Linked DNA regions of Struthio camelus. The protein of the gene in region 4 interacts with the protein of the main gene of each other region in a pairwise test. Links are inferred from orthologs where the notes say so. Each region holds a gene or a part of one and is shown on either strand. Other genes may lie near its edges. The genes, in order: BTF3L4, HYPK, CCDC146 and TXLNA.

What was found.
Region 1: the proteins of TXLNA (region 4) and BTF3L4 interact in binary tests that used the Homo sapiens proteins (3 or more experiments, as listed by UniProt). The two-hybrid records come from large-scale screens. The link is inferred for Struthio camelus from reciprocal best matches to the Homo sapiens genes TXLNA and BTF3L4.
Region 2: the proteins of TXLNA (region 4) and HYPK interact in binary tests that used the Homo sapiens proteins (3 or more experiments, as listed by UniProt). The two-hybrid records come from large-scale screens. The link is inferred for Struthio camelus from reciprocal best matches to the Homo sapiens genes TXLNA and HYPK.
Region 3: the proteins of TXLNA (region 4) and CCDC146 interact in binary tests that used the Homo sapiens proteins (3 or more experiments, as listed by UniProt). The link is inferred for Struthio camelus from reciprocal best matches to the Homo sapiens genes TXLNA and CCDC146.

Annotation. Positions count from the first base shown.
Region 1 is NC_090949.1:31,393,977-31,400,831, reverse strand, and holds the start of BTF3L4 (transcription factor BTF3 homolog 4), read right to left. Parts: upstream 3,005-6,855; 5' UTR 2,848-3,004; exon of another isoform or gene 2,039-2,847; intron 1,906-2,038; exon of another isoform or gene 1,570-1,905; intron 931-1,569; 5' UTR 921-930; coding exon 867-920; intron 1-866. Other genes in the region: TXNDC12 (thioredoxin domain-containing protein 12), read left to right, coding at 6,750-6,855.
Region 2 is NC_090953.1:424,510-432,190, reverse strand, and holds the start of HYPK (huntingtin-interacting protein K), read right to left. Parts: upstream 3,013-7,681; 5' UTR 3,009-3,012; intron 2,959-3,008; coding exon of another isoform or gene 2,838-2,958; intron 1,877-2,837; coding exon of another isoform or gene 1,818-1,876; intron 1,747-1,817; coding exon of another isoform or gene 1,609-1,746; intron 1,535-1,608; coding exon of another isoform or gene 1,367-1,534; intron 1,022-1,366; coding exon of another isoform or gene 839-1,021; intron 590-838; coding exon of another isoform or gene 457-589; intron 311-456; coding exon of another isoform or gene 195-310; intron 1-194. Other genes in the region: STRC (stereocilin), read left to right, coding at 195-310, 457-589, 839-1,021, 1,367-1,534, 1,609-1,746, 1,818-1,876, 2,838-2,958, 3,035-3,126 and 8 more. UniProt on the Homo sapiens protein: Component of several N-terminal acetyltransferase complexes. Inhibits the N-terminal acetylation activity of the N-terminal acetyltransferase NAA10-NAA15 complex (also called the NatA complex).
Region 3 is NC_090942.1:14,107,392-14,114,917, forward strand, and holds the start of CCDC146 (coiled-coil domain-containing protein 146), read right to left. Parts: upstream 3,022-7,526; 5' UTR 1,521-3,021; coding exon 1,366-1,520; intron 1-1,365. Other genes in the region: protein FAM185A, read left to right, coding at 3,574-3,961. UniProt on the Homo sapiens protein: Essential for sperm flagellum biogenesis and male fertility.
Region 4 is NC_090964.1:8,542,297-8,550,155, reverse strand, and holds the start of TXLNA (alpha-taxilin), read right to left. Parts: upstream 3,010-7,859; 5' UTR 2,779-3,009; intron 1,509-2,778; exon of another isoform or gene 1,461-1,508; intron 932-1,460; 5' UTR 898-931; coding exon 780-897; intron 1-779. Other genes in the region: KPNA6 (importin subunit alpha-7), read right to left, coding at 4,795-4,979, 5,619-5,797, 6,367-6,494, 7,081-7,206, 7,724-7,802. UniProt on the Homo sapiens protein: May be involved in intracellular vesicle traffic and potentially in calcium-dependent exocytosis in neuroendocrine cells.

The DNA.
Region 1 (6,855 bases), on a different chromosome or scaffold from region 4:
GCTCTGCAGTCAAAAACGCTTCTTTATTTCCTTCATCCACAGTTTAACAGTCACTCCCAATTTCCATTATTCTTTTTTAACTGTAAAAGACAGAAACAACACTCAACTACTGCAGTACTTTCCCACAAGTTAAACTGCAAGACTAATATTATTCACTAGTAAACAACGTAAAACTCTTGCTGAGAACTTCTTACTAGTTATTTTTTTCCCAAGATGAAGCACAAATGCAGTGATTTAAAAAGTTCAAGCTTTTCTAACCAAGTAATTAACACTTTTAAACTGTTCTACTGACAGCAATTTCAGAATTCCTACTTTACCAACTTTGTACCAAAAAACCAAACCAAAACAAAAATAATAAAAACACCCCTACCACGCCTAGGGTTAGGAGATGAACACCCACACGGAACTACTTATACACTTTTTGTGCTATACTATTAGCTACCTGCCAGCTCAGAGAAAAGATTCAGCTCAGTGCAGGATCAGATGAGCCCTGGAGCTGGCATGAGGCAAGGGGCAGAACTTGCCAATGGGGAGAAGAGAAAGGACAAACTGCAGTAACCAGTAGGTACGCTCACGCAGAGCTACCAGAGGTCACAGCAAATCACCAAATGAAGAAGAAAGCTTACACACTTAAAATTACTGATCCAGTGACTGTGAACTGAGACAAATTGCATTTTACCTGGCAGTACTATGATCGCGACCACAAGAAAAGTGAATTTTTTAGGCCTCTAAAGTATATATCCAAGTTAGATTTTCTATGAACTGAAGTCTATGTTTTATAAAAATAAGTTTCAGAGAAGTTTCATCCTCAACCCATCGATTCAGAGATGCACTCTTTCCTGTAAGAGACTTTGTGTTTTTCTTACCTTTCCTCCTATTCGGACCTGAGCTTGAAGCTTGGCCAGTTTTTCTTGATTCATAGTGCTGTTCCTAAACGATGAGATATAAATACAGGTTATCTCTCAAAACATTAAGATAACTTGCATAATTCTTTTTAAAAGTACCTTCAAATTTGTAGTTTTTTTAAAATGGATAGAAGTTTCTCCAAAACAGCGGAGAGACACAGCAAACAAAAAGCTTTAAAGTCAATCTACTCAAGTAATTTTAAAAAAAGTGCCTACACTAGTTTGTGCATGTGAAACGCCTGCCTTATTATAAAGCAGATTATCAGGAAGATTAGTTTTGCAGCATTTTAGTAATGAAATATTAGCTGTTAATTTACAAGTATGTCACTTCACTGTTGGCACAGTCTAATTAGCTTGAGCTGCTCAGAACTGACCCAAACCAGCAGGTACTGCACAACTGCTCGTAGAAAAAACAGGAAGAAACCTTTATTTTTAACAGAGCCCAGGAAGAGAGTCACCACTAAGCTACTTTTAATGCTTTTTCCAAATAGCGAACTTCCAATGCGTCTGACTAACAAGCTCGCTCCGGGCCAGTTGAAGCTCGCGCATAAACAGGTATTTTTTAGGGGCCTCCAGCAGCTACACATCCAATTCAGTAACTGGGAAGTTAGCCAAGCAGATTTTCCTTAAAGCGGGAGCTTTAGAGACTGGCAAGGCTAAAAACCTCTAACGTCTGGAAAGCGCCTCAAGCCTTCCCGCACGGTAAGGAGGTCACCGGCAACCCTCACTGCGTTTCCACCGTGCAAAGCAGAGCGCGAAGGCGGCTCCCACGGGCCACCGGGAGGCCTCCTGCAGGGACACCGCGACGGGCCGACCCCGGCCGGGACAAAGGCCTCCGGCCCTCTGGCCGCCAGCCGCGGAGGGCCCCGTCCCTCGGCAACCGGCGACACCTCAGCCGCGGGGGGAAAGGAGGAGAGGGCCGCGCCGAGCCGCGGAGCCCAACGCACGGCCCAGCCCGGGCTCCGCCGTGCTGCCCCCGCCGCGGCCCGGCGGGGAGGGAGCCGGGCTGCCCGCGCCGCTGCCTCACGGCCGGGCTGGGCCCTTCCCTCCCCCCCCCCCGCGCGCGGGCCGCCGCGCGCGCCCGGGGATGGCAGCGAGGGGGGGGTGGCGGAGCGGGGCGGGGAAGTTCTCACCTGCGTCCGGCGGCTCCCCCGCAGCCCAACACGCGGTGAGAACAAGATGGCGGCCGAGGAAGGAAAGAGAAGCGCACAGAGAAAGGAAGCCTCGCGCCACGTGACGGCGCCAACCCGCCCCGCCCTCCACGCCCGCCGATTGGCGGCGACGCTGAAGCACGCTCGCGTCGACGCGGGCGCGCAGGGCGCGCGCTGCCTGCTGGGAGCTGTAGTCCTGTGCGGGGCGGACATGGCGCCACACCACAGAGCGAGCCCGGCGCGGCCCTCCCCTCTCCCGCCGCGTACGGCGCGGCAGCGTCCTGGCCTGTTACACCGGTGCAGCGCAACACCGGCTCGCTATGTCTCCTTGTCTAAAAAGGAGGGGAGGGAAGAAGGGCATACAAAGGTTTGCAAAGCGGGAGCGCCTGCAGACTTCCTGCTCGCCAAGTCAATGGGAGTTCTGCGAGTTAACGCAGGTCTCCAGCCGCCGCAGCCCCCCGGCCCCGAGGCAGCGCCCGGCGCCTGGCACGGCCGCCGGCTGCCCGCGCCCTCCGCCCTCGGGCAACACCCGGGACGCCGCGGCTCATGCCGCGCGATCCTGCACTTGCCGGCAACCTCTTCCCCCGTCGTGGATCCCCGCTCGTGTCATGAACGTTTGCGGCCGGTTTTACCTTCCCAAGCACCTGGGGCAGCACTGACAGTCCTGGAAACGGTGTTTATTTGGCAGAGAAAAATAAAGGCGAAATCCAGCCTGCGCTGCTTGCTCCCGCCGAGACGAGTCTTAATGGGGGAGGGAGGGAGGCGGAACCAGGGGGGGGCTTTCTTTTTACCAGGGGCCCGGCTTGACCGCGGTACCGCCTGCTGCGCCTCGGCGACCTGCCTCTGCCAGGGAGAAGAGCCGCGAGAGAGAAAAACCCACCGCCAGGGCCACCGCTGCCCTCAGCCTGTCAGCCGGCGGCGCTGCACCGCCCACATCCGCTTCACATCACTTCCTGCGCTTAAATAAATAAATAAATAAGTAAATAAAAAAAAAATCAGCGGGGCTGGTGCGCTCGCGAGCCGGAGGTGCCGCGGGGCGATACTGCGTGAGGGCCGCGGGGCGTCATGGCGGCGGCGGCCTCCATGTCGTGCCTGTGCCTCGCGCTGGTGATGGCGGCGGCGGCTGTGGCGGCGGACGGGCTCGGAAAGGGTCAGGCCGGGCTCCTCCTCGGGCGTGGGGCTGCCGCGACCGAGCTCGCCGGGGACGGGGGTGGGGGGCGGGGGGAGGCGCCGCTTTATTGCAGTTTATCGCGTTGCTTTCGGGCCTCGCTAGCAGGTGCCCGTCGGGGGCAGACGGCGTGATTTCTTTTTCCTGTCGAAGCCCCGACGCGCGTAGAGCCGCCCTGGCGCGCTGCCCCGGTTTGGGCCAAGCAAGGGGCGGCGGGGAAGGTGGCCCTGGCCCGCACCCCAACCCGCCTTTCCCCCCAGCGCCGGGGCCGCAGGCCCCTCGGACGCCGGCGCGTTGAGCACTCCTCGCTGGGTTCCTCTGTTTCATATCTGCCTCCTGAACCCCGGCCCAGCGGCGGGGTCGGCCGGGCGAGCGAGTTCCTTTCTCAGCGCTGCGTCTCGGCTCCGGCCTGGGTAGTCGGCCGTACGGTTCGATCGACGGCGGCCCGGCTGGGCGGTGTGAGTCCCAAACGGTCAAACATCGAGGCAGGCAAGCCGTCGTTGCCTCTGGTTGAGTCCCAAGTTCGCTGTCGTGAAAAAGAGGCGCTGTCTCATACGTTATTTAATGCTTTAAAGGACATCCTGAAGCTCACCACAGCATGCTTTTTGGTTGAAAGAATAACTTCTAAAAAGCCTTTGCTGGCTAGAGCAACCTAAGGTTTTCCTTGAGTTAACATGTTGGCCTTTGAGTGAAACAGTTGATGCGTCAATACGCTAGGTAAATAGGACTTCTGCTGATAAACCGACCTTTATTAGCCTTGCTACGTGCGGGTGGCTCCAATGTAGGCTTGTTTCTGGAGCTGACGCGTGTGGCTGGACAGGAACAGGATGCACCCCCCTCGCTACTGGCAAAACTAAATATTTGATGTGTTGCGTCACATACGTTCATGGCAGTTTGCGTGAGGAGACAAGCTAAGGTAATAAAAATACTGTGCCAGCAGTTCAAACCTCCCGGTTGCTGAAGTGCCATGGCGTTTTGCTGACCCGGCTCCCGCCTCTCTCCAGCTCCTTTGCTGCAGTCCTCTCTGCCTTCCCCGTGTCAGCCCTGGGGCTCCCGGCCCGCGTGCCACGCTCGGAGTCTCCTCTCAGATCTCCGCGTGGCTTTTGGCCGTGTGATGATATTGGTGTGTTGGTTATCGGGCCAAAAAAGTGGCAGTCGCTGCTTGACAGGTGTTAAAACGTATGTTCTTTCAGTCCTACCTCCGCTGACGTCGCAAGACTTGTTATGCAGTTACTGAATGAAACGTTGCCTGCGTTTGTCAGTCACTGTAACATTCAGAAAACTGTGTAATGGGGCTCTTTTGTCCTCTTTCACCATGATTATCAACAGCTGTAATGTTTGGTGTAGTATTTCTAGAGCAATTAATAATCATTTATCGGCCTCGGTATTTTAAGTTTTGCATTAGCCCACATTCAGTGGGATTTAGAAAGGCAAACGGGAACATGTTTAATTTGTCCCTGAGCAGTTAATAAATGTTCACAGATTGAGAAGGAATGGGGAGTCATCAGAAGGCACTTTAGTTTAGTCTCTGTTTCGGAGATTTTTTTGTCATTTGCATATGTGTAAATATTAATATGTGTGTGGTTTGCGTTTGTTAATTAATTTCAGTGAGATTCCTCGTAAGACTGTGTAGGATGTAGCTATTTGTCTCTCCATGACTATCCAGTTGTTTTTCTTCCAGTCTTTCCGAGACTGGGATTATATTTTGCTTTAAAAAAAGAATATAAAATGAGTTGAAAATGTCCTTAGAGGTTAGACTGTTTTCATCTGTTAGCTGACATGTTACATTACGCAACATTTATAAACCCTTTTCTCTGGCAGGTTTCGGAGACCATATTCATTGGAGAACACTAGAAGATGGGAAGAAAGAAGCAGCAGCCAGGTATGTTATGTAGTTCTAAATACAGAAAAGCGTCGCTAAGAAAGTCGCAAAGATTCTGTATCAGTCCAAATTTTAACCACCGAGAGTAGTGGTTATTAGAAGATGTGACGGTGGTTTAGGAGATTGTTCAAATCCCTCTAGTCTGTCTAGATTTTTCTTAACTTTGCTGAGGCGCCACCTCAGTTTAACCACTTCAGTCTAAGCACATGATTGAAGTCATGTCTTTGAAATGAGAAGAAAGTAGTTTTTGACTCTATCATAGCAAAGAAGGATGTAGACCCCCAAACCCACAAACACACGTACTTACTAGTACTCACTCAATCCCCCTGAATTCAACTGTGCGAATAGCTTCTGTAAAATTGAACATGCAGATATAGATTTGATGCCTTACTGTGAGCTGAGGGAGTCATTTTGCTGCCATCTGCAAAAGTTTCAAACTGCAGCAAACTGGTAAGTTGTGTAAACAGAACCTCTTTTGGGAATACCCAAACTCTAAAACAACACTGTCTCTATTAAAAGGTCTAAAATGTATTTTTTTAATTTGCAAGCTAGATCTGAGAAGATGTGTGCAGGTGCACAATACTGACATTAGTGGAAATGGATTATGCCTTCCGGGTGGGATGGTTAATTGAATTTTGCGCTCAAACTGATCCATCCACTCACCACACAATGTCTAGTGCAGACACCACATTAGCACAGATGGTACAGTTGAGAAGTCTAACAAAGTGCTTAACTGGACGTTTTAGCATTTATTTGATATACCTGTACAAAAACTAGGCAATTTCAGTATTTGCGGGAATAATCGTGGCATTGCTTTGCCACAAAACAGAGAAGATCTTAAAACGAGTTAACAGACCGTTAGGCTGCTGGGAGGATGGATACGCTCTCAGGCATGGGCAGCACGAGGGTTTGCAGTCAGGACCTGCCCCTGGAGATCCTGTAAGGCAGGATTTCTGTAAGGCGCGTGCTCTTCCTTCGTTGCCGGAAACACAGACCCGCTCGCTTATTTGAGTTCAGCAGCGTTTGAGTGTTAGTGAGTTGCGAGGCTTGGGAGAAACCAACAAAAAGAGAAGAGAAGCAGACCCCCCCCCCCCCCCCGAAAGCCGATTTTTGTTCTAAGGCCGATCCATAGGGCAGGAGATGAAAAATTACTGTATAGAATGATCTTTAAGGCATTTAGAGCCTATTTATGGGGAGGGGGGGAGGGTGACCTATCACCTCGCGTCCAGCGAGAATGACAAAAGCAGATGCACTGCGGGCCACAGGGTGTATGAAGATTACTGTAATGATGACGAGGAAACGATACAGATCACCCTAGCGCTGAGCAGAATCGAGGGGTGGCTTTTCGTCTCGGCTGGCGCCTGTCGCAGCCCTGGCGACCGACTCCCCTCCGCCGCCCTCGCCTTCGCCGCTCGTTTTACCAGCGACTGAAAGGAGCGGCGCTTCGCAAAGGCGCAAAGCGGCCTCACGGCTGTGACGCAGCCGGCCAGCCGCGGCGCTTCGGCACTCGCCCCGCCTCCGGCCCAGCGCTGCCGCTGTCCCGGGGGGCGCTGTGGCGCCGGCGGTCGCCCAGGCGCCGGCGTGACGCGAGCGGAAGCGGCGGGTCCCGGGCGTGACGCGAGCGGAAGCGGCGGGTCCCGGCCATGCCGCTGGTGGTGCTGTGCGGGCCGCGGGGCAGCGGCAAGAGCCGGCGGGCCGCGGAGCTGCGGGCGGCGCTGGACGAGCCGGAGCGGCCGGCTCACGTCGTGG
Region 2 (7,681 bases), on a different chromosome or scaffold from region 4:
GACTGGGACCTGCCACCCCCCAACCCTGCTGCAGGACTGGGACTTGCCACCTCCGACCCTGCCGTGGGGCTGGGACCTGCCACCCCCCCGACCCAGCACCCCTCCGTCTGGCAATCCCCCATGCCCAGCCCGGTCTGGCCGGGAGACCCCGGCCAAGGCTCCCTCTGTGCGTTGACCCCTTTGTGCCTGGGCAGATCTGGGGGCTGGGGGACGGCTGGCAGCTGCTGCCCCTGGGGCTGGCGCAGGGCCACCATGTGGCACGCAGCCTGGTGAACGGGAGCCGCGAGGCCGGCCCCGCGGCAGCGCAGAGGTGAGGGCGACGGGGTGCTGCCAGCGCCCGCGCGGCCCTGCCCCGAGCCGTGCCCTGCCGCCCCGGTGAGGGGCAGGGAGCAGCGCCAGGGCAGGCGCTCGCAGGGCTGCCCGCGCCGGCTCTGGGCCGTGGCTGTTTCCGCGCAGGCTTGGGACCCTCGCCTGCTTCCTGAGCCCCGAGGAGCTGCAGGAGCTGGCGGCGCTGCAAGACCCGCGGGGGCCGGTGGAGCAGAGCCTGCTGGCGTGCGCCGCCGCGGGGACCCTGCAGCAGCATGGGCGGGTGAGCCGGCGGCGCGCGGGGCATCCCCGGGGCACCCCGCCAGCGGGCGCCCCGCAGCTGCAGCCTCCCGTCGCCTGGCTGCTGGGAGAGCCCGGCCACGACGGGGCCGCCGGCGCCGGCTCCTGGCCAGGCAGCGCGCTGGGGCCGGGTGCCGGGAGCAGCTCCGTCCCTTCCCCTGCCGTGGGGCCGGCCGGGGGGCAATCTGCCCACCAGCCCCAGGCTCACAGCCCTGCGGCTCCGCGCCGGCAGGTCATGCTCGCCCTCGCGGACTTGCTGCGCTCCACCAGCCTGGCCGCGATGGGCCCTGGGGAGCTGCCGGCGTGGAGAGGCGTCCTCCCCGAAATGGGGGTGGGCTTCCTGGAGCGCCTGTCGGCTGCCCAGCTGGACGCCCTGCTGCCCGCGCTGCAGCCCGCGCAGCTGACGCGCGCCCAGGTGAGCCCGGCGCGGCACCCCGGAGCCTCGCCGTCCGCCCAGCTGGCGGTGCCACCGGCCCCCCGGGCGCGCGGCCCCGCCGCTGGCCCCACCGCCTCGTCCTTCCCTCCAGGCATCCTTCCTGCTCACCCGGGCCGTCCGGAGGGACGACGTGAGTGTCCGGATGCTCCTGCCTCCCCCGAGCCCGGGAGCAGGGAGAGGACGAGACCCCCGCGCGGCGCAGCCCTGCGCTGCTGTCCCCACGCCTGCCCCTGCTCCCAGCCCCTCGGCCGCTCCCGGGGCCGGCAGCCCGGCCTGCCCCGCTGCGGCACGGCGGCCTGAGCGGGCCGGCGCGGTTCTTGGCAGGTGACGGCGGGCGACGCGGGCAGGCTGTGTCCCCTGCTGCCGGGCCTGAGCCCCAGGTCGCTGGCGGCCGTGCTGGCCCTGCTCCGGCGCCGAGGCTGTGCGTGCCTGGGGCCGGCCCTGCCGCTGCTCTCGGCGGCGCAGACGGCGGCGCTGCTGCAGGCCCTGCAGGTACCCGCAGGCGAGCAAGGCGGGGGCCCCTCGGCCGGCCGGCAGCGCTCACCCCGGCGCCCGCGCCTCCCCAGGGCCCCCGGCGGGAGCAGCCCCCGGACGGCTGGCCCGACTGCCTGCTGCCCCTGGTGCCGCTGCAGCTCCTGCGGCCGGGCGCCCAGGCCCTGCAGGGCGCCCCGCGGGCCCCGCACCTGCCCTGGTCCCCGCAGCAGGTAAGGGGCCGGGCACGGGGCCGCGCGGGCGGCCTGCGCCCCCACCGCCTCCCACCGCTGCCCCTCCGCAGGCCCAGCTCCTCTGGAGGGAGGTGGGAGCCAGCGCCAACCGCAGCCACCGCGCCACCGGGTGAGAGCTGCCGGCGCCAGCTGGGCCGGGGCTGGGTCCCGTGGAGGGCAGGGAGCTGGGAGAGGTGGGGTGCCCTGGGCAGGGTGCAGGGTGCGGGGGGGCCCTGGGCCAGGGCTGGGTGCCCTGGGCAAGGGCAGGGTGCGGGGGGGGGGCCTGGGCCAGGGCTGGGGCTGGGGGGGTGCTCTGGGCAGGGGCTGGGTGCCAGCTGGCCAGGGGCTGGGTGCAGGGGGGTTGCCCTGGGCAGAGGCAGGGTGCAGGGTGGGTGCCCTGGGCAGAGGCAGGGTGCAAGGGGTGCCCTGGCAGGGGCTGGGTGCAGGGTGAGTGCCCTGGGCAGAGGCAGGGTGCAGGGGGTGCCCTGGGCAGGGGCAGGGTGCAGGGTGGGTGCCCTGGGCAGGGGCTGGGTGCCCTGGGCAGAGGCAGGGTGCAGGGGGTGCCCTGGGCAGGGGCAGGGTGCAGGGTGGGTGCCCTGGGCAGGGGCTGGGTGCCCTGGCAGGGGCTGGGTGCAGGGTGGGTGCCCTGGGCAGGGGCAGGGTGCAGGGGGCGCCCTGGGCAGGGGGTGCCCTGGGCAGGGGCAGGGTGCAGGGTGGGTGCCCTGGGCAGGGGCAGGGTGCAGGGGGTGCCCTGGGCAGGGGCAGGGTGCAGGGTGGGTGCCCTGGGCAGAGGCAGGGTGCAGGGTGGGTGCCCTGGGCAGAGGCAGGGTGCAAGGGGTGCCCTGGCAGGGGCTGGGTGCAGGGTGAGTGCCCTGGGCAGAGGCAGGGTGCAGGGTGGGTGCCCTGGGCAGGGGCTGGGTGCCCTGGGCAGGGGCAGGGTGCAGGGTGGGTGCCCTGGGCAGGGGCTGGGTGCCCTGGGCAGAGGCAGGGTGCAGGGGGTGCCCTGGCAGGGGTCGAGCAGGTCTCCCCAGGGTCGCGGGCAGTACGAGCCGGAGCGAGGAAGGACACGGTCTCACCCCACGGCCGTGCAGCGCCCTGGGCTCGCTGGTGGTGGGCATGAGCTGCGCCGCGCTGCAGGAGCTGGGCCGCGAGGATTTCCTGGGGGCTCTGGGGACCCTCTACGCGCGGCCCCGCGCCCTGCCCGCCAGCCTGGTAAGGAGCAGGCTCTGCCGAGCCCGGCGCCGCCCGACGGCAGCGGTGCCGCCGCTCACGGCCGCGGTGTCCGCAGCGGCGCTGCGTGCAGGAGGAGGCGCTCAGGCGGCCGCCGCTCGCCCGGGAGGAGCTGGCACGGCTGGGACCCGAGTTCCTCATGGAGCTGCCGTAGGTGCCGGGGCCGGGGCCGGGGGCCGCCCCGTCCGCCGGCGGCGCCCGCAGCGCAGTCTCGGTCCCGCAGGGCGAAGCTGCTGGAGACGCTGCCGGGCCCGGCGCTGCGGCCGGCGCTGGCCCACGCGAGACGGCGGCCCCGCAGCCTGCTGGCGCTGCCGCCCGCCCGCCGCGCGGCCCTGGCTCGCGGGGCCCTGCGCGCCCTGTCCCGGGGCGCCGCGCCGGCCGGGCCCCCCCGCGGCCCCCCGCCGCTGCCCGCCGAGGCCCTGGACGCGCTGGGCCCGCTCGTGGGCTTCCTGGGCCGGGAGAGCGCGGCGCGCCTGGCCCCCGAGAGCCTCCTGCCGCGCCTGGCGGAGCTGCAGGCCACCTGCGTGGCCGCGGAGGCGGCCGAGGAGCTGGGCCGGCTGCTGCTGGCCGAAGGCGCGCTGGGGTAGGCGGCGGCGGGGCCGGGCCGGGCCGGGCCGGGCCGGGCGGTGCCGGGCGGTGCCCTGACCCCGCTGCCCGCAGGCCGCCGCCCCGCTGGCGCCCGCCCGCCCTGCAGCAGCTGGGGCGCCTGGTGTTCCTGCTGCCGGCCGGGAGCCTGCGCGCCGTGCCGCGGGTGAGGCTGCCCGCTCTCCGCCTGCCCGCTCTCCGCCTGCCCGCTGTCCAGCTGTCCCGGTGTCCCGCTGTCCGGCTGCCCTGCTGTCCCACTGTCCGGCTGTCTGGCTGCCCCGCTGTCCCTCTGTCTGGCTGTCCCGCTGTCCGGCTGCCCGCTGTCCTGCTGTCCGGCTGCCCCACTATCCCGCTGTCCCGCTGCCCGCTGTCTGGCTGTCCCGCTGTCCCTCTGTCCGGCTGCTCCACGTGCGCAGCCCTTGCGCCACCCCGGCCGGTGCCGACCCCGCCGCCCCCCTCCCCGGCCGGTGCCGACCCCGCCGCCCCGGGCCGTTCCGCCGCCGGGTCGGTGCCGCCCCGCTCAGGCCTCTGCCGCGCCGCGCAGGACTTGCTGAGCCGCGCCGCGGTGGAGCGGCTGCTGCAGAGCCAGCGGGACTGGGACGGGAGCGAGCTGGGCCGCCTCTGCCGCCCCCCCGGCCCCGGCCCCGGCCCGCAGCTGGAGGCCCTGGTGGCCCCGCTGGTGGGAGCCACCGGGCCGGGCCACCGAGGTGAGGCAGCGCTGCCCCTGCCCCGCTCCTGCCCTCGGGTCCCCAGAGCCTCCCCCCGGGGCTGCTCGCACACCCCTCGCCCAGCTGCCACGTGTCCCCTGTGCCCCCCGTCCCGGGTCCCGTCCTGCCTGGGGCTGGTCCTGCGTCCCCTGGTGCCCCCCGACCCCAGGCTGTCCCTGTCCAGGAGTGGTCGGTCCCCTGTGCCCCACGTCCCCGGTGCCGTCCCCCGGCATTGGCCCCGTCCCCCCTGTGCCCCACGTCCCCGGTGCCATCCCCCGGCATTGGCCCCGTCCCCCCTGTGCCCCACGTCCCCGGTGCCGTCCCCCGGCATTGGCCCCGTCCCCCCTGTGCCCCACGTCCCCGGTGCCGTCCCCCGGCATTGGCCCCGTCCCCCCTGTGCCCCACGTCCCCGGTGCCGTCCCCCGGCATTGGCCCCGTCCCCCCTGTGCCCCACGTCCCCGGTGCCGTCCCCCCGGCATTGACCCCGTGTCCCCTGTGCCCCACGTCCCCGGTGCCGTCCCCCGGCATTGGCCCCGTCCCCCCTGTGCCCCACGTCCCCGGTGCCGTCCCCTGGCATTGGCCCCGTCCCCCCTGTGCCCCGCGTCCCCGGTGCCGTCCCCCGGCATTGACCCCGTGTCCCCTGTGCCCCACGTCCCCGGTGCCGTCCCCCGGCATTGGCCCCGTCCCCCCTGTGCCCCACGTCCCCGGTGCCGTCCCCCGGCATTGGCCCCGTCCCCCCTGTGCCCCACGTCCCCGGTGCCGTCCCCCGGCATTGGCCCCGTCCCCGCCGTGCCCCACGTCCCCGATGCCGTCCCCCGGCATTGACCCCGTCCCCCCTGTGCCCCACGTCCCCGGTGCCGTCCCCCGGCATTGGCCCCGTCCCCCCTGTGCCCCACGTCCCCGGTGCCGTCCCCCGGCATTGGCCCCGTCCCCCCTGTGCCCCACGTCCCCGGTGCCGTCCCCCGGCATTGGCCCCGTCCCCGCCGTGCCCCACGTCCCCGGTGCCGTCCCCCGGCATTGGCCCCGTCCCCCCTGTGCCCCGCGTCCCCGGTGCCGTCCCCCGGCATTGGCCCCGTCCCCGCCGTGCCCCACGTCCCCGATGCCGTCCCCCGGCATTGACCCCGTGTCCCCTGTGCCCCACGTCCCCGGTGCCGTCCCCTCCCGGGGCTGGGTGCTGCTGGGGGCCAGGGCTGGGGCCAGGCCGCGCTGCCGCCGGCTCCGCAGCCCCGGTGCCCAGCTGCGCCGACGTGCGTGCCACCTTCCCCGCGGCCTGGAGCGCGGCCCAGCTCGCCGCCATGGACCCCGCGCAGCTCCGGCCCTGCCTGGGGCTGCTCAGCACCGACCCGGCGCTGCGCCCCGACCAGCTGCGCGCCGTCCTGGGCCAGGCCAGGCGGGTGAGACGGGCCGGAGAGGGGGCGCAGCCGGGGCTGGGGGTCTGTGCTGGGCTGGGGGGGCAGAGCTGGGCTGGGGGGCTGTGCTGGGCTGGGGGGGCAGAGCTGGGCTGGGGGGCTGTGCTGGGCTGGGGGGCTTAGCTGGGCTGGGGGGAGCTGAGCTGGCTGGGGGGGGGCTGTGCTGGCCTGGGGGGGGTCTGTACTGGCCGTGGGGGGGCTGAGCTGGGCTGGGGGTCTGTGTTGGACTGGGGGGGTCTGTGCTGGGCTGGGGGTCTGTGTTGGATTGGGGGTTCTGTGCTGGACTGGGAGGGGCTGAGCTGGTCTGGGGGGCTGTGCTGGTCTGGGGGGTCTGTGCTGGGCTGGGGGTCTGTGTTGGACTGGGGGGGGCTGTGCTGGTCTGGGGGTCTGTGCTGGGCTGGGGGGGCAGAGCTGGGCTGGGGAGGCTGTGCTGGACTTGGGGGGGCAGAGCTGGGCTGGGGGGGCTGTGCTGGAGTGGGGGGGCTGAGCTGGGCTGGGGGGGGTCTGTGCTGGGCTGGGGGGGCAGAGCTGGGCTGGGGGTCTGTGTTGGACTGGGGGGGGCTGTGCTGGTCTGGGGGTCTGTGCTGGGCTGGGGGGGCAGAGCTGGGCTGGGGGTCTGTGTTGGACTGGGGGGGCTGAGCTGGGCTGGGGAGGGTGGGGGGGGGTCTGTGCTGGGCTGGGGGGGTCTGTGCTGTCTTGGGGGGGTCTGTGCTGGCCGTGGCGGGCTGTGGGACCATGCTGGCGCCAGGCGCCCCAGGCTCGGTGCCGGGGGGAGCGCGCCCAGGGCCGGCCGGCAGCTGAGCGGGTGCTGCCGGGCCGTGCAGCTGCTGGGCAGCGGCCAGGCGCCGCAGGCAGCCGCCAGCCTGCTCCTGGGCCGGCTGGCCACCCAGCTGGGCGAGCCGGAGCTGCGGCAGCTGGCGCTGCCCGACTGGGGGGCCCTCTCCGCCCTGGGCGAGCTGGACGGCTGGTCGGGCAGGCAGGTGAGCCCCCGGGCGCCGCGCTGCAGCCGGCCGGCCGGGCCACCGGGCCCCCGCCCGCCGCCCAGCGCCCACCTCGGGGCTCTGCTCCCCCAGACGCGGGCCGTGGTGTCCGGCTTCCTGCGGCAGCGCGGGGCCAGCGCGCGGGACCTGCTGCTGCCCGAGCTGGTGGCGCTGGGGCACCTGCTCTGCGGGCTGCGGGCGGCGGAGCTGCGGAGCCTGGACGCCGGGGAGCTCAGGTCCGTGCCCGGGCCGGGGGGACTCAGCTCCGCGCGCGGACCCCGGGCGGGCAGCAGGGCGCCGCAGAGGTGCAGGCAGGGACGCGGCTCCAGGCAAGGCTGCCACCGCGCCGCGCTGCGCCGGGCTCTGGCTCCGGGCACGCGACGCTCTCCGCCGCCCCGCAGCAAAGCAGCCCCTTTCCTGGGCTCCCTGAGCCTGCGCTGCTCGGAGCAGCAGATGGAGGCCTTGGCGGCTCGCCTGACCTCCAGCGCAGCCTTCGGCCCGGCCGGGGCCTGGGGGCCCGAAATCTTCACGGAGATCGGGACGCTGGCAGGTGAGGGGCAGTGCCGCGTGGGGTGGGACAGCAGCGTGCCCTGGCCCGCCACGGTGACTGCTGCCCCCCGCGCCCCCAGCCGGGCTCCCCGACGTCGTCCTCTCGGCGCTGGTCCCTGAGCAGATCTGGGCGCTCACGCCCCAGGCCGTCGCTGCCATCCCGGCACCCAAGCTGGCAGTGAGTGCCCCCACGCTCCCTCCCGCGGCCGCCAGCGCCAGGGCTGCTGTCCCACTGTCCGGCTGTCCGGCTGTCCGGCTGCCCCCTGTCCCTCTGTCTGGCTGTCCCGCTGCCCGCTGCCTGCTGTCCGGCTGTCCGGCTGCCCCACTATCCCGCTGTCCCGCTGCCCGCTGTCTGGCTGTCCCGCTGTCCCTCTGTCCGGCTGCTCCACGTGCGCAGCCCTTGCGCCACCCCGGCCGGTGCCGACCCCGCCGCCCCCTCCCCGGCCGGTACCGACCCCGCCACCCCCCTCCCCGC
Region 3 (7,526 bases), on a different chromosome or scaffold from region 4:
ACCATCCCTACACACACACTAGAATACAGGAAAGAAAACACAGAAAAAAAACAAGGTTTGCTCAACATTGTGCCCTAGGCATGACTTGAGAACTTAAGAAGGCTCAAGGAAGTAGTTCCAGAAAAACATTACAGAATAATGTTATTTACAAAACAAAAACTGAATTACAATAATGTAATACAAATATTTTGTAATAGAAATACATAAGAATTTTTAATAAACTTCACAAAAAAATCCTCATACCAAACATCTTGAGCTTTATGACATGAAGAAACACTAAGTAGTGACTAGCCATGTACATGGTAAATCTTGCCCTAACTCCAGATGGCAAGTTGAAAGGATACGTTCTTTCATCTGCAGGTAAACATCAGCAGGAACGTAATTCCAGCAAGAACACTCCTGCAGGGCAGCCTCTTCTTACTGAATAGTGAAGTTGTATTATTTCTTCATTACAAGTATGGCAAATGGATGACCTTAATCCTGCCCAAGTAGACTAAGTAATGTTTATATCCTTTGGGTTTCTGAAGCTGTCTGATCTTGTTCTGCACTTTGTTCTAACTGTCAAAGTGAAATACGTATTCCTTCTACAGCCTCTCCTGGAGGACCGTTTCTTTTAATTCTTCTTTCCTTAAGATCTCTCTTGGACTTCCCTTAGCCTAAAAGCTCCTCTTATATAGCTCTGGCTTTAAAAATCTATTTCATAAAGCAACCTAAGGTCTACTTTTTATTGTCTCTTGCATGTAATACAGAATATTCTGGTAAATTCTTTCACTTACCACAACATTCAGGTACGTAAACATCTGGCAATGACTAAGGAGTATGGTAAATCATTAAGGACTTACTTTCACAGGTCCTGGTTTAACCCACCCTATTGTACAGATGCAGACGTCTTGAAATTGCAGATCGAATTAAATCCCTAACCATTTGTAAATTTGATATAAGGTTTCTTTTCTGGCAGGTGACAAGTCAGAAAATTAAAAGTGAAAATAAATCTCATTTTATTGTTGCACAGATGGTAAGAAATACTTAATTTGCCACACTCCATACCAGCTGATATGGAATCAAGTAGAATTCAGTCACAAGCATGAAGGTGAAATGGAATTAACTTTATAGTTCAAATACAGATGACATCAGTAGAACCTTTCCTGCTTTCTTCAGTCTTCTTAAATATATTTTAAAGTGTGTTTATACCTCTAACAGGTGTCTAGTGGAAAAAACAAACCCATAAAACGGTGAAATATATAGGTAGCTAGGGCTTCAGCATCTTTGAACAGTTTGTCAAACCAAGACTCTCAATTACATGAGACATGCCAATATTAAAGATGATGCATAAGAAATGATGCATAGCACTGCATGGAGCCCAACCTGATAAACCTCTGCTCCAAGAAGACAGCATCAAATGCCCTATCAAGATGCTGCAGGAAAGGGGGGCAGCGGGGCAGCAGTGCTAAGGTTTGAGAGGAGACAGGAAACTGCGATAAGGACACAGCAGCACTAACTTCAGGAGAAATGTGTGGCATCAGTCAAGCCTCACCTGAAAAAAAAATTGGAATTCCTTGCTTTGAACGTAGGAGGTTAATAGAGTTATTTGTTGAATGGCCTGTCATCTGGTGGAAGCATAGTTCATTGCACCACCATTTAACAGGCCTGTAACTGCTTCCCTGTCAAATTATGTAACCAACAGCTAAACTCAGTATTTGGTTTCAGGGGGAGAATTCTGTACTGTTTTTCCAAAAGCAACTATTTCTGAAGACTTGACAATTTTAACTTATAGCCCTCTTCATGCCCCAAGATATGTCTTAATCTCTTTTTGTCTTTCTAGAATTCTAGCATATTGCTGACCGTCACTGTTTTGTCTTTCATTTAAGGATTTTTGAGACTGAATAACATAAACCAACAAAATAATTTAACTTGAAGAGCTTCATTGACCAATATGAATCCTTATTAGACTCTCTACAGTGAAAATTACAGAAAGACAAAAAAACTAGGACCAGCTTCTTTCCTATTAGAGATTTAAATGTCATTTTGGACTAAAAAATAATCACTCCCAGATGCAGATAATAACAGAAGTGAAGTTAACAAGATGAAAAGAGCTTAAAACCAAATATTATATTGTATGGCTTGCATAGTTATTTTTGGAAACAACACATGGAGTGTAAAAGAGTGAGCAAACCAATCAACAATCCTAGATTTCATTATTTCTTATGTTGCAATGTAGCTAAGACCGCACACCTTTCTATGCCTGTTTCATTATTGGCAGTAAGCTACTGTTAGGAAACCTACAACAGGAATTTAATCTCCAGCTTCACATGATCTATGCTCATCCACACCCCTTTTTAAAAATTATTGTATAATACTAATGTGGACTAAGAAGTCCATAAAAGTCTCTTTAACTGAAGTCTGTATTTCCCCACTTGTTGGTAAACCCTGTAAGGACTGTTGTTTCATGACACATTTGCACAGCACTAAGGAAAATATTTATTTGGCTGCCTGTCTGAGAAGCAGTCACAATAAATAACGTGTTAACCAAGCTATCTTGACAGCACGTAATTTTTGAGCTCCGCAACACTGTTTTGGAAAAATGTTTTTCGCAGCATATCTGGTAAACTGCTTCTTTATCCTCTGACCAAGGGCATTTCATCACGTGAAGCGTCACTGCGGGCTAAAAGCGCAGCGAAGAGCAGGGTGCCGCCCAAAGGCCTTACCCTTTCCTCCTTCCCCGCCCCGCGCTGCCGCGCCCCCTGCCTGCGGCCGCGGGGGCCGCAGGGGGCCGAGCAGGCTGGAAACCAGCCAGGCACCCCAGCGCCGGCGCTCGCACTGGACGTTAAAGCTCGGCAGCCCCACGACCGGCCCGAGGAGAGCACGGAAAAGGCCTCGAGAGCACCGAAATCATCTTCTGGCGCGTGAGGTGACCCCGCGGGAGGCCCCGCGAGGGGGAAGGCCGCCCCGGCCTGTCCTCGCAGCCTCCTCGAGCGGGGCTGAGGTGGCCCCGAGCCCCCCCTCCACCCCAACCGCTGCTGTCCCTCCGGGCCGGCAGGGCCAGGCCCGGCTCCGGGGTCCGGTCCGGTCCGGCCCGGCCTGGCCCACCGCCCCGGCCCCGGCCCCGGCCCCCTGCCCTACCTGCGCGGCCGCGGCCGGCCCCGGCTGCGCGGAGCGGCGTCCCACGTTCCTATGGCAACGCCGGCTCCGCTCCTTTCGTACTACTCAACCGCCCTCGCCCGTCACGCTCGCTCCTCATTGGCCCTAGGATCCCTCCCGCTGCCCTATAGAAGCAGAACACGGAAAAGCTCCGCCTCCCCCCCTTCGCTCATAGGTCAATGCGTACGGCTGCTGTCGCCCCTTTTCGGGAACTTGTAGTTCCCTCTGCTGGGGGGGGGGGGGAACTACGTCTCCCAGAAGCCCCCTCGGTGGAGGGGGGCGGGGACTGGCGCGAGGCTCCGGCCGGGCCCGCCGCCAACGGCTGTTTACCAGCCGTCCCGGTGCCCATCTGCGCGCTGCTGCCGCCGCCGTGTCGCGGCGGGAAATGGCTCCGTGCCCCGCGTAGCCTCGGGGGCCTCTGCCGCGCCGGGCGCCATGAGGGCGCTGCGCCCGCGCTGGGCGTCTCTGGTGGCGGGCGGGTGGCAGGGGAGCGGGCGGCGGGGTGGCTTGGCGGCGGGCGGGCCTCGCCGCGGCAGCTCGGCGGAGCCCGGCGGCGGTAAGGCGCTGAGGGAGTGGGCGCTGGCGGTGAGCCCGCGGGGGCGGCTGGCGGTGCGGCTGCCCTGCCAGGTGAGCGTGCGCCCGCTGGACCCGCAGCGCTACCCGGATGCCGACCGCGTGCTCGTCACCGTCAGCGGCGCCGACCGCGGCCGCCGCCTGGACCACGTCCAGGTGAGGTACGACGAGGTGCTGAAGCAGGTGGCCATCGTCTCCGACAGCGTGGGCAGCCAGGCGGCCGTGGACGTCAAGACGCCCCCGAAGTTCGGTGGGTGAAGCCGGGGGTGGCGGCCGCACTGGGGGCCCCCACGGCGTGCGAGGCCCCGCTCGACGCCCCTGGCCGCGCCGGCACCTGCGGGTGCGAGAGCTGCTCTCAGGCCTTTCTTAACCGAGGGGAGAGCTGGATCCCGCCCTCGGGTGGGGCGAGTCGCGGCTTTCCCGGCACTGCTCCCAGTGGGACTGGAAGTGCTGCTGGCAACAAGCATCCAGAAACGCCTCGTGGCCCCTTCCAAGGCTTGAAAACGTTGTCGGCCTTTGCTTCCGTGTCTCCCGGTTCCTTGCATGTTTGGACGTAACACTTGTTGAGCTTTGGTTTTCAACGGTTAAAGCTAAAACTAGCGCTCTTAAGTGGTAGCTCAGATGCCTGGTTTTATTTTTTTTTTCCTCTGACAGCTGGTCTTTTAGAAAAAAACAAGTAACTGCAGCTCAGCTGAGAGAATACAGGCCTTAGTGTTGTGCTATGCACACCTGCAGTCTAAGGATTGTTCCCAGTAGGGTTTTTGCATATGGCCTGCTACCAAGCTCTGTTAGCAGGCCAAGGGATCCCCAGGGGTCGAAAAGGGCTGGAAGGTAGCCATGCAGATGAAAAGCTAAGAAGCGCTCCCTTTTCCAGTGCAAGTCTTAGCAGTTTTGAGCAGAACAGAAAAATCTGGGCAGCGTTTCTCGTACAGAACCTACAAACAACTCATAAGAGCAGCTGTAGTAGCTGAAATCTGCTGGATTGAAGTCCTGAAAGTGGCCATAGGTTTAGGGAAGGAACAGGGCAAGCTTGCCTTAACAGATCCCCTTGCTTGAGCTGAGGTTTCGGGAGTTCCTGACTTAGAGATCAATTTCTGTTTTTCAGTTGTTAAGTATTTTTTTCTATGAATTTATGTAATTGCTTTTCTAACTATATGTGTGCATATGTAGATATATAGTGGTATCAAAGTATGTAGTGTAGATACAGTTCCGCTATGCTGAAAAAAATCTTCAGTTTACCAAAAACCCTTGTATTTGTTTCAAGTGGCTGTTTGAGACTGGCATTTTATTTCATTTGCTACTCTGCTGTAACTGTGCCATGAGAAATGGTGACTAATCCTATCCTGTTTATCCCTCCTCGTGTGTGTCATCTGTATATGTTCTCTTGGTTAGCGCTTTTCCAAGCTCTTCTGACAGCAAAGACATTCTGTACCTTTTTATCCTCGTTATTTTCATCTATATCCTCTCAAATTCTGTGATGTCCTTCTTTGTGAGGTTAGAAGGACCTAAACTGTATATCATCTTCAAAATGCAGTAGTGCAGTGGATTTATAAAGTGACACTATTCTCTTTTGTTCTCTGGTCACTGTTCATTTATTCTTTTTTTTTGAACACTGAGAATTGATGTTTCTCATCTGTATGAGAAACAAAACTCAAGGTCCCTCTTGTGTCCTAACGACTAATCTAGAGACGTATCTTGGGTTTAAAAAAAAAAATAAAATCAAGGGCTTCCCCTCTGCCCTGTCTGCAATGTGCCTCACTTTTTCCTATATAGAATAGCCGTGCGAATTCATGCCATGAGTCCAGCTAGCCCACTGTCCTGTCTACAGCAGCAATTGTAAACAGATGCTCAGGGAAGAATAAGAACAGGGCAAACACAGATGATATGTCATTGAAGTATTCTCACATCCATCAGCCATTTTCAGCTCTGATGTGGCTCAGAAAGCTAAACAGTGAATCTTTCTTTCAGTAAATCTTCCTTCCAAGTGCTTATCCATTCTCATCATGAAACTGTTTACATGTGTAAACAAACTGTAGGCCTTTTGGCGAATAATTGCACAGGTATACTGTCCACTGAGTATCTGTTTTTATCATTCTGGTATGCAGTATTCTAAGACCTTTCTGCAATTTGTCAGGTTTTTTTAGTAACTCTGAATAATTCGGTATTGTTGATGAAACTTTGCAACCATGATATTTGCAGTGTTTTCCAAATTCATGAAAGGCTAAAGATGACAGGTAATTTATTAGTTAAAAGACAGGAAATAAAGCATAGGACTAAAGACCTCGTCAAAGACTTCTGAAAATCCAAGTTGAGTGTTCATAAATATATCGACTCTTATCTACGTACTCATTGACTCTTTCAGTGAACTGTAGTAGTTCTATAAGGTGGGACTTCTTAAAAGTTTCTTACAGAATTGACTCTTCCTTATGAATTGTCTGTATACTAAATTCTTACTTTTTTCCTGCTTGGCAAGTACAAAGATTACATTTACTTGTATGGTTCATTAAGGGAGTCCATCCCAGGACTGCAAACAATCAAAAAACCTAAGTTTCCCATTTACTGCCCTTCATTTCTTTGGTACCAGGCATGTTTGGTTAATATAGGTGATAGGTAGCAGTCTTGTATTTGAGTTTTTCTAGGACGTTTGAATGACTATTGTGTGCTACTCCAGGCTTTTTTTTTTTTTTTTTAACTCTTCTTTGCGGGAGGGGCAGCGCAGAAGGTCTTACTGCATTAAGATCCAGGTAATCTCAGCCCTGATGCAAGGAATGCATTTAGCCTTTCAAATGTACTCTGCTCTTTGAGACTGCAATTGTATTTTGAACATCGACTAGCTCTGCAGACTGTTTGGCAGGCATCTTGCTTTTGATGTTCTTGAAATAGGTTTTATTAGTTTTTTTAAGCAAGTTGTTCCACTTAGTTTTGTGGTGAGATCATACAGTTCAAGTATCTTGCTCAGTATGTGTATTACAATCCCTCTTTATTACTTACTATCTGGCACCCCAGAGTCCCTGTGATGTTAGTATTGTTCAGGCTGTTATCCAGTTATATCTAGATTTATCTCTGGATATAATTGGAAGACCACCTTATTGTTGGTATTACAGTGAAGACTTCAGTGCAGTAGGTGTGCTGCTTGCCAATGAGGTTCTACTTTTAAGTATCCCCTCAGTTCTAGTTTCTTTGGGGTTTCGAGGTGGGTGTGTCTTTTATTTGTTTGCATGTGTGTGGTGTGTGTGTGTGTGCTTTTTTGTTGTTCTGGGTTTTTTTGATTACTAAAAAAATGTTTGGGTTGTTTCTTTTGTATAGGAAAGAAGTATCCATTAAACATCAGTGTTATCAGCACAGTATCCTAACCCTTGTAAAAACAAATTGCAATCTAGAGAGAAAGCATCATAGACTGCAAGCATTTCAGCATTCCACAGACCTGCCTTGAGTGCATGAGGTGTGTGTATTTATTACACTGTTCTGCTCAGATAGTTTTATCTGACCTCTTCTTCTGTCACTTAGCTGTAAGAAGTTGAGAAATTGATGTACACATTTTTACGGTCCTAGGTTATTTTTTGGTTTTGGGCATTTCTTAGCAGCTTTTGCATTTTTGAGTTGCAGCTTGTCCAGGAAGCTCCTAGGTTAGCTGAAACTCCCTAGAACCTGAAGAGCATTTGCAGAAGATGATAAAGGACAGGTTTAAATATGCATCTTAAATTAAAGGCAGCTGCTATTAGCACTACAGGGAGTCCTATAGGAGCCTATATTTGCTGTGTCTAGTCTTAGGCTTGTCTTTCAGTATCTTGCACAGTTTAGTAGTCCTTGCTGAC
Region 4 (7,859 bases):
TAGATTTAAAACCCAAGTTAGCCTCTCTCGTCACATATAGAACAGCTGTACTGGGTCAGATCAAAGGTATCTTGTCCCTAAGAGCATCCAACAGCAGATGCTTAGGGAAGGAGTAGGCAGCCCATCCCTTAGTACGCGTCTTAGCTTCCAAAATTCCCCCAAATGAGACTCCTTGATAACAGACAGCAGTTGGTTATTAAACTAACGCTATGCACTGGGCATTCACTACATCCCACGTTTACTAGGCATCAGAATATACATAAGGCCGGGTGAATTTTAACTAAGCACCTACTTTACTAGACATGTTTTTTATTCCTTCTAGAGAATTATTTTTATGACTTGAAAAGCGCCGATAACAGGGCAGGTCACTCAACATAACACTGCCCCAGGGAAAGATTGTCTGACTTTTCTCCTGTATGGGATCCTTCAGGTCTAAGCAACAGCAAATAACCCATCATGTTCAGGTCAGGATCAAAGGCAGATGCAACTCCACACTTTGGTAACCTGTTCCCCAAGGCAGCAGTAACTACTTCAGAACTGCACATATGCAGAAGCGATAAGAAACAAGGATTTTCTGCTCCTGACATCACAACTGCTCTTATACAAGTAAAAAGAGTTGGATACAACAGCCCACCCTCCTATGGAGAAAGCAAGAGATCAACTCTTTTCAGGCTTGAAACCCACCCTCCCGCTTCCCTGCGTGCCGCTGCTCGGGCTGTCAGCACTGCCCCCAGCCACCGACAGGGAGCTGCGTGTCCCGGGACCGGGGGTCTCCCCACCTTCAAGGGGTGCTGCGGCCTCAGGTAAGTCGCCTTCCTCCAGCACGAGGCTGCTGCTCATTTTGGAAGAACTAGCAGGCCGCAGGGCAGCTTTGGTCTCCCCACCTTGGTTCTTCATCACGACTTTTCTCCCCACTCAGTCTCAACAAACCCTAGCAAAAGAGAAACAGCAACTACGTTTAATTTTAAGAAGTAACAGATTAGGGGGTTATAGCAGGATTCATCACCTTGCTGGGGAGTCAACGAGAACCGATGAACTCAGAACGGAGAAGCAACTCGTCCCTGGGGAGGCTGCTTCCCCACTGCCAGCTGCCACTATCCCACCTGCGGCTCAGCGCAGAGGAAAGCAGCATTTTGCGATTTGCGCCTGAACGCAAAGGCCTCTATATCAGAATAATTCTTCTTCCAGTTGAGAAATGCTAGAAGCAGCCCCTTCTAGGGCAAGGCAGCAAATCCCGAATCACGTGCAGCATGTAGGGCACATCTTTCTCAGCACTGTTACTTCCCCTTGCCCCACCATATTTTCCTCTTGGAACATTTCTCCTCCCTGCTAAGAAACATGTTTCACAGCTGAGAGTGATCTGTGCACACTGGCAATAAATCCCCTGTCTACGCGGAAGACCCAGAGACCAAAGCCTCCGCAGGAGAAAAGTCAGCACCAACTAAAACAAAAACGCATACCTGGCTGGAGGAAAGTGTGCAGCTCCCAGGCAGAGCTGGAGCTCAGCGCTGAAAAGATTAACTAGCATCACCGTGAGCCACAACGAACAGCCCGAGCTCAGCTCCCCGCTCGTCTCCCTCCTCTCTCCCCCAGCAGGGTATGTTCTCCCTGACTCTTTCCCCCGCGTTCTCTGCTCCAATCACGATACTAATTACAAAGCAGAGGCAGCCAGTGCTCCTAGTCTAGAGCCAAGGGAGCGTTCTGCAAGAGGTGGGAAAAAGCCTTTGCTGCAGTTTTGCAGTCATCGCCCAGGGAGACCCGAGCTTTCTCCGAGAGAGCAGCCCAGGACACGGCTGCCGAAGCAAAACACGGGCGAAAACGAGGAGCAGGCGCAGCAGCCAAGCACGCGCATCACGCGCCCCCAGGCCGGCGAGGCTGCGCCCCCTCCCACGGCAGGCCCGCGGCACCCAGCGCCCCGCTCTCGCCGAGCCCCCGGGCGCTCCTTTTCCTCCGCTGCTGCTGGAAACAGCGCAGCCCCCGCGCGCTGCCCCAGGCGCCGGCGGACGACGGCCGGCTCCGCAGCACCCCGGGCGAGGGGCAGCTCCTCGCACCCCGCCCCGCCCGGCCGCGCCGCCCCGGCACCCCCTGCCCTCGCCGCCGGCACCCCTGCGCTGCCCCACAGCTAACGCTGCCCCTCCTGCCCGCTCCGTACCGACCCCCGAGGTGTGCCGCACACCTGCCCCCCCGCTGTACCCCTTGCCTGCCCCCCGGTCACCCCCATCCCTGCCCCCCAGCCACCCCCCGTGCCTGCCCCCCTCAGCCGTGCCCCATACATGCCCCCTTGCTGTACCCCCGCCTGTTCCCCACAGCCGTGCCCCACTCCTGCCCCCCGCTGTACCCCTGCCTGCTTCCTACAGCCGTGCCCCACTCCTGTCCCCCAGCCAATACTCCCTGCCTGCTCCCCCACAGCCACCCCCACACATGCCCCCCGCTGTACCCCTCACCTGCCCCCCAGCCACCCCCGTGCCTGCCCCCCTCAGCCATGCCCCACACATGCCCCCCGCTGTACCCCCCGCCTGCTCCCCCAAGCTGTGCCCCACTCCTGCTCCCTCGCTATACCCCCCACCTGCTCCCCACAGCCGTGCCCCACTCCTGCCCCCCAGCCTCTTCCCCCCACCCCGGTCACCACCCCCGTTAACACCCCCGGCCCGGCCCTACTCCCCCGTTAACAGCCCGCCCCATGGCACCCCCAGGGCCTTGCCCCCCCTCCCCACCCCGACATGACGTTCCAGGCGGACACACACACCCCCAACCACCGCAATGACGTCATCCACGTACCCCGTGACGTCACCGCCAGGGGTCTGACGCGTCACCCCCCTCCCTCCTCAGCCAATCAGGGAGCAGGAGCCGGCGGCACCCCGGCACATCAGAGGGAAGCGAAGACGGAGCGGCCTCCTCCCCGGCGCCGCCCCGCCGGTCCCGCAGCCGGCGGCGGCTCTCTGCCCGCCTCCCTCCGGCCTCCGCGCTCAGGCCACGGCTCCGGCCCGGGCCTCCCAGCGTGCGCGCATCGCGCATGCGCCCCCCGCGCCGCCGGCCAATCAGCGGCTGCGGCGCCGCGAGGCCCGCCGGGAAATACCGGTGAGAGGCGGCAGTGGCGGCGGGTCCGCCGGTGGCACTACCGCTCCCGGCGTGCCGCGCGCGGGGCCGGAGGGGGGGGCGCGAACTACCACTCCCGGCGTGCCGCGCGCGGGGCCGGGGGGGGGCGCGAGCTACCGCTCCCGGCGTGCCGCGCGCGGGGCCGGAGGGGGGGGGCGCGAACTACCGCTCCCGGCGTGCCGCGCGCGGGGCGGCCGTTACCGGCGCTGAGGGCCCGCCCGGGATTTGGGGGGGGGGGGGGGGGGGCCGCCGAGCCCCACCGCCGTCCGAGGCGCCGCTGTCGCTTACTCGTTCACCAGCGCGGGGCTCGGCCCCCGGGCCGCCCCCGCAGCGGTTTCGCTCTCCGCAGCCTGGCCCGCCCCCTTTTAGTTTGTTTTTTAATGAGATCTTGGCTAAGTAAACTCAAGGCAGGTAGAGGAGTTTAAGACAGATCTATGTTTGCTTATACAGTACATGAGTAAACAGAGGAAAAGAAGCAGGACAACCAGTGAGTGAGCTCACAGACCGTCATTTCCAGGTATGCCTGCCTCACAGTATTCTATTTACATAAATTACAGAAATTTCATATATATTTTTCTCTGAAGCCCAATTAGACAAATATCTACCTATATATAATATAAAAAATACAGGGATTTGATTCTTCCTTTTGAAGTAAAATGTACATGATCCAACTGTGAGCAGGAGGTAAACCTGAAAACTCAGGCCTGTTGCTACTGAAGTTAACACCGCACACAACACTGCTGTCAAGTGTAGCTATGCCCTCTTCCTCCCCAGCCCATATTATGATCCACCCCAACCCAGCCAAAAAACCCCAAAATTCAAAACATGGTTTCATGAGAGGAGGAAAAAAAAAAACTTCAAGTAAGAATGAAGATGGGTTTCATCATTTCAACAGTTTGTGACTTCAGTCAGTAGCAATGCAAACAAAGCCTGTGCAATGGCAGCTGTGCTTCCTCTTTCAAAAACCACCCAAGCATCCCACCCTCTTCATAGTTACCATCTTTGGGGTTTTGTTGCTTTTTTCCTTGTAAATACCACTAGCAGTTCTCCAGGAAAAAAAAAAAAAAAAAAGAAGAATCCTTCCCCCAGAAAGCTTTCCCAGGATTGGGAGACTTCCCTGCTTCTCTGTCCATTTACAGTATATTTCAGGGGAACTTGGCCCAGGTCCAACAGGACTGTCCACTGAAGGAGGGTCGCAGAAAGGCCAGGGCTAAACTTTGCTCTTGGCAAATTAGAGTCTTTAATAAGAGTAACATGTGCAAAAAAATTAAATAGATCAACCCAGGTTTCCAGAATTATTGTCATCAGAATGCTCACTTTCTATGTGTTCTTACCCAACCCAATGCTGAAATCTCAATTTTAAGTACCCAAGGTAAAAAGTGACATTTGGGAGATCACCACAAAGAGGAAGAAAAAAAAAAACCCACAAGAGGTGCAATCTGTTATCTCAGTGTCCTTCCTCCACCCAGATGCCTGCTTTAAAGACACATATGCAGCAGCAAAAAGAAAAAGTGTAAGAACTTCCCCTTCTCTCCATGAGGACAAAGCACTGCTTCTAGTTGTTTCTGAAGGAGGAGTTGCTTCCTAACAGGTGGAGTGGGTGTTTAGCCTTCCATTTGCAAGGAGGGGGGTGGGACCATCAGCTGCTCCCAGTTGCTTCCTGGCAAGTTTGTAGTATTCTTTTCCCCTCTGGGCACATTATAGCTGGAAACCTTCCATTGGGGCTTCAGGTTGCTGGAATATGAATTGCTGCTGGTTCTCATCTACCTGGGGAGCTAGAGCAGAATCATCCTCTACTCCAAAGTAGTGCTCAATCAGGTCAAAGGCCTTCTGGTAGATCTCTTGGTTCTCATGGCTCTGCAGGAACTCTATCTTATCCAAGCCTTAGAGAAGAGAAAAGCAGCGTGTGACAAAACATGGAGAACCCCAGTGTTTACACTGTCCCACATCCATCCTCCACCCTCACCCCTGTTCAGGGCAAGACCCCTGCCTGTGTTAGATGTGCATTTTGTCTGCAGCACTCTGACATCTAAAGCTAACTCTTCCCATTACTCCAGAGTTGCTTGGAAATTTAATCCCTATCAGACAGCACTGACATCTTTACAACAGTAGGCTTAGCTGCTCACAGCTCCCTTGCTGAAGGCAAAACTGAAATCAGTGGGACTAATACAACTGGCCATGAATAGTTTGACAGTCCTGGGGCTGGAAGGGGGAAGAAGCAGGCCCTGACCCCAGGGGCCTCCCTCCAGCAGGAGGGCAGTGACTGCTTTAGCCATCTGACTTAAATCCACTGCTGAACAGGAAGCATCCAAGCAACATACGTTCTTATGAATTTCAAGAACTGCTCTTATTGGGAGAATCAGGCCACGTGATAACATCTCATTTGGAACATACTAAAATCCCTTATCTGGTACACACTTAAGTGCTAAGCAGAAGTGAAATCCATGACATCAGCAGACACCTGTCAACATACCCTACGGTTTTCAAAGGCAATAGCAGCAAGGCCACCAGCCACAACCTACCATAGGCTTCCTCAATCAGGCTGCAGTAAGGATTGATGCCTGTCCCACTCTGGTTGGCCTCCTGCTCTCCGAGCCTCAGTATGTTCTCCAGGCCGTTCAGCGCCACCTGAACAATCTTTGAGTCCATGACAGTCAGCAGGTCACAAAGAGGCTTGATACAACCCAAGTTTACCAGGTATCTACAGAGAGAGCACCCAGAACATACACTCAGCTTGCAGGATAGCAAACATCGCCTTCATTCACTTAAAAAAAGCTCAAAGGAATGAGTCAAACTAAAATAACTTTTTATATATATATATATAAGCTATATATAATGTTAAATAACTATAACGTTATTTAACATTATTAGTATATTTTACTGTTTTGCAAGCTTAATATTTATCTCCACTTATTTCTATGCATATACAACCCTGCCTTTAAAAAAAGGGCCAGCTCCCTTTGAAGTGAACTCAGGTGACACTGAGTTTAAGCCCACACGGGAATTTAAATGAGGTTTGGACATTTAGCCTAGTTTAAGCTATTTTAAAGACGTGAGAGGGAAGCAGTTTGGATTAGTCTGACACTTGCTTATCCCATTTCAGAAGGAAACTGCAATGCACAGCAGAGCACACTGTCTAGCTACAGCCTTGCCCATGTCTCAGGTATTCTCCCAGAGGTTCTCCCTTACTGCTTTGTCTTGCAGATCCCAAAGACATAAAGCTGCCATACATTCAGACCGATTTCCCCTAAGTGGGGCCATAAGGAGTACCTGATCTGTTCTGGAGTTCCTCCTGACGTTGCGTTTGTAATAGCCCATGCTGCCTCTTTCCTTGTACGGAATTCTGCTTTCTGCAAGATTTCTATCAGCACTGGGAAAATGTTTGCATCTATGACTGCCTGGGGAGAGAGAACAGTATGAAGTGTTTGAATTGGCAACATGGTTTCCAAAAGCAGCTGAAAGAAATCTCTCTCTACTTTCCAGTAAGCTTTCCGGCCTAAACCTTTTTCAGCAATTCCTCCATTTTATTCCTCTACCAAATCCTATATTCAATTCCATAACTAGCACAGTAAATAGTCCCTCATTATTGCATCAGTCCTGTAGAAAGTCTCATTTTATCTGCCTTGTTATGTAGGCCATTAAAAGGACAATTACATCTTAACAAGCTACAGCTTTTCAAAGGGGTATCTCTAATTGAGCATGGAGAAATGGGGGCTTTATGTCCTGTTCTTATTCCAATGATCCAAAAGGGGGACATTCAGTCATTTCAGTCTCATCCCTTTGTAGTACAATTAGCAGATTTTTAGCTAATTTATTTGGCCTACAGCTGGGAGCAGCCTGCCCACAAAATTTAAAGAGTTTTAAAGAGTTTAAACAAGCTTAAAGCCTCTAAGGGTCAGATAAGAAAAAGATTTGCAGACTCTGAACACTGAACTTGGACTCCAAGATCACTACAAATGAAACCTAAAAGCCTCAAAGCTGTACCTGTATTTGTGCTCTGTTTCCTGCTGTGATGTTAGAAATAGTCCAGCAGGCTTCTTTCCTAATCGACTCCTTGGGACTGCTTAATAAGTGAAGGAGACAAGGCAGTGCTGAACAGTTCAGGATCACCTTATGATAAGGAAAGCAGAAGTGAGGTCACCAGTATCAGGAAGAGAGCCAAGTTTTCCACCTTCTTTCAATTTTCACACAGTGAATATGCTGTATGGGTGCTGCATTTCCCTCCTTGCCCTTTTCAGAAAGGGGGAAGGAAAGGTACTTCTCCTATTATATCACTGTGGGAAAAAGGTACAAGAGAGGTACTTTGCCCCATCTCCCATGTCTTGAAATCAGACTTTCTGAAGCTCCATTTTAAAACCACACCCCCCACCCCCACACATCCAAAATAACAGAAAGCAAGAGAAAAACAAACACTATTCTGATGTGCCTTGCTTCTAAAAGCTTGCTGCAGCAGCCGGACTAAACCATGCTGATGGAAACAGACTGCTACCAACTAAAGCACTCACACTGAAAGAAGTCATGCACTGATATATAAGGGAGACATACTTTCTAACAACCATAAGCATCATTAGTATCAAGAGCTGTACTCCTCTTTAGTTGCATCTGTAAGACAGTCACATCCCCTCACCTGGGTCTGGATGTCATCACCTGTCACAATGTTGCCGACAGCTCGCAAAGCTGGGGAGGCCACTTTGTAGTCATTGTGCCTGCAGAAAAGATAGTGCAGGGATAGAAGACAAATCTGTCAGATCACATGCACCTGA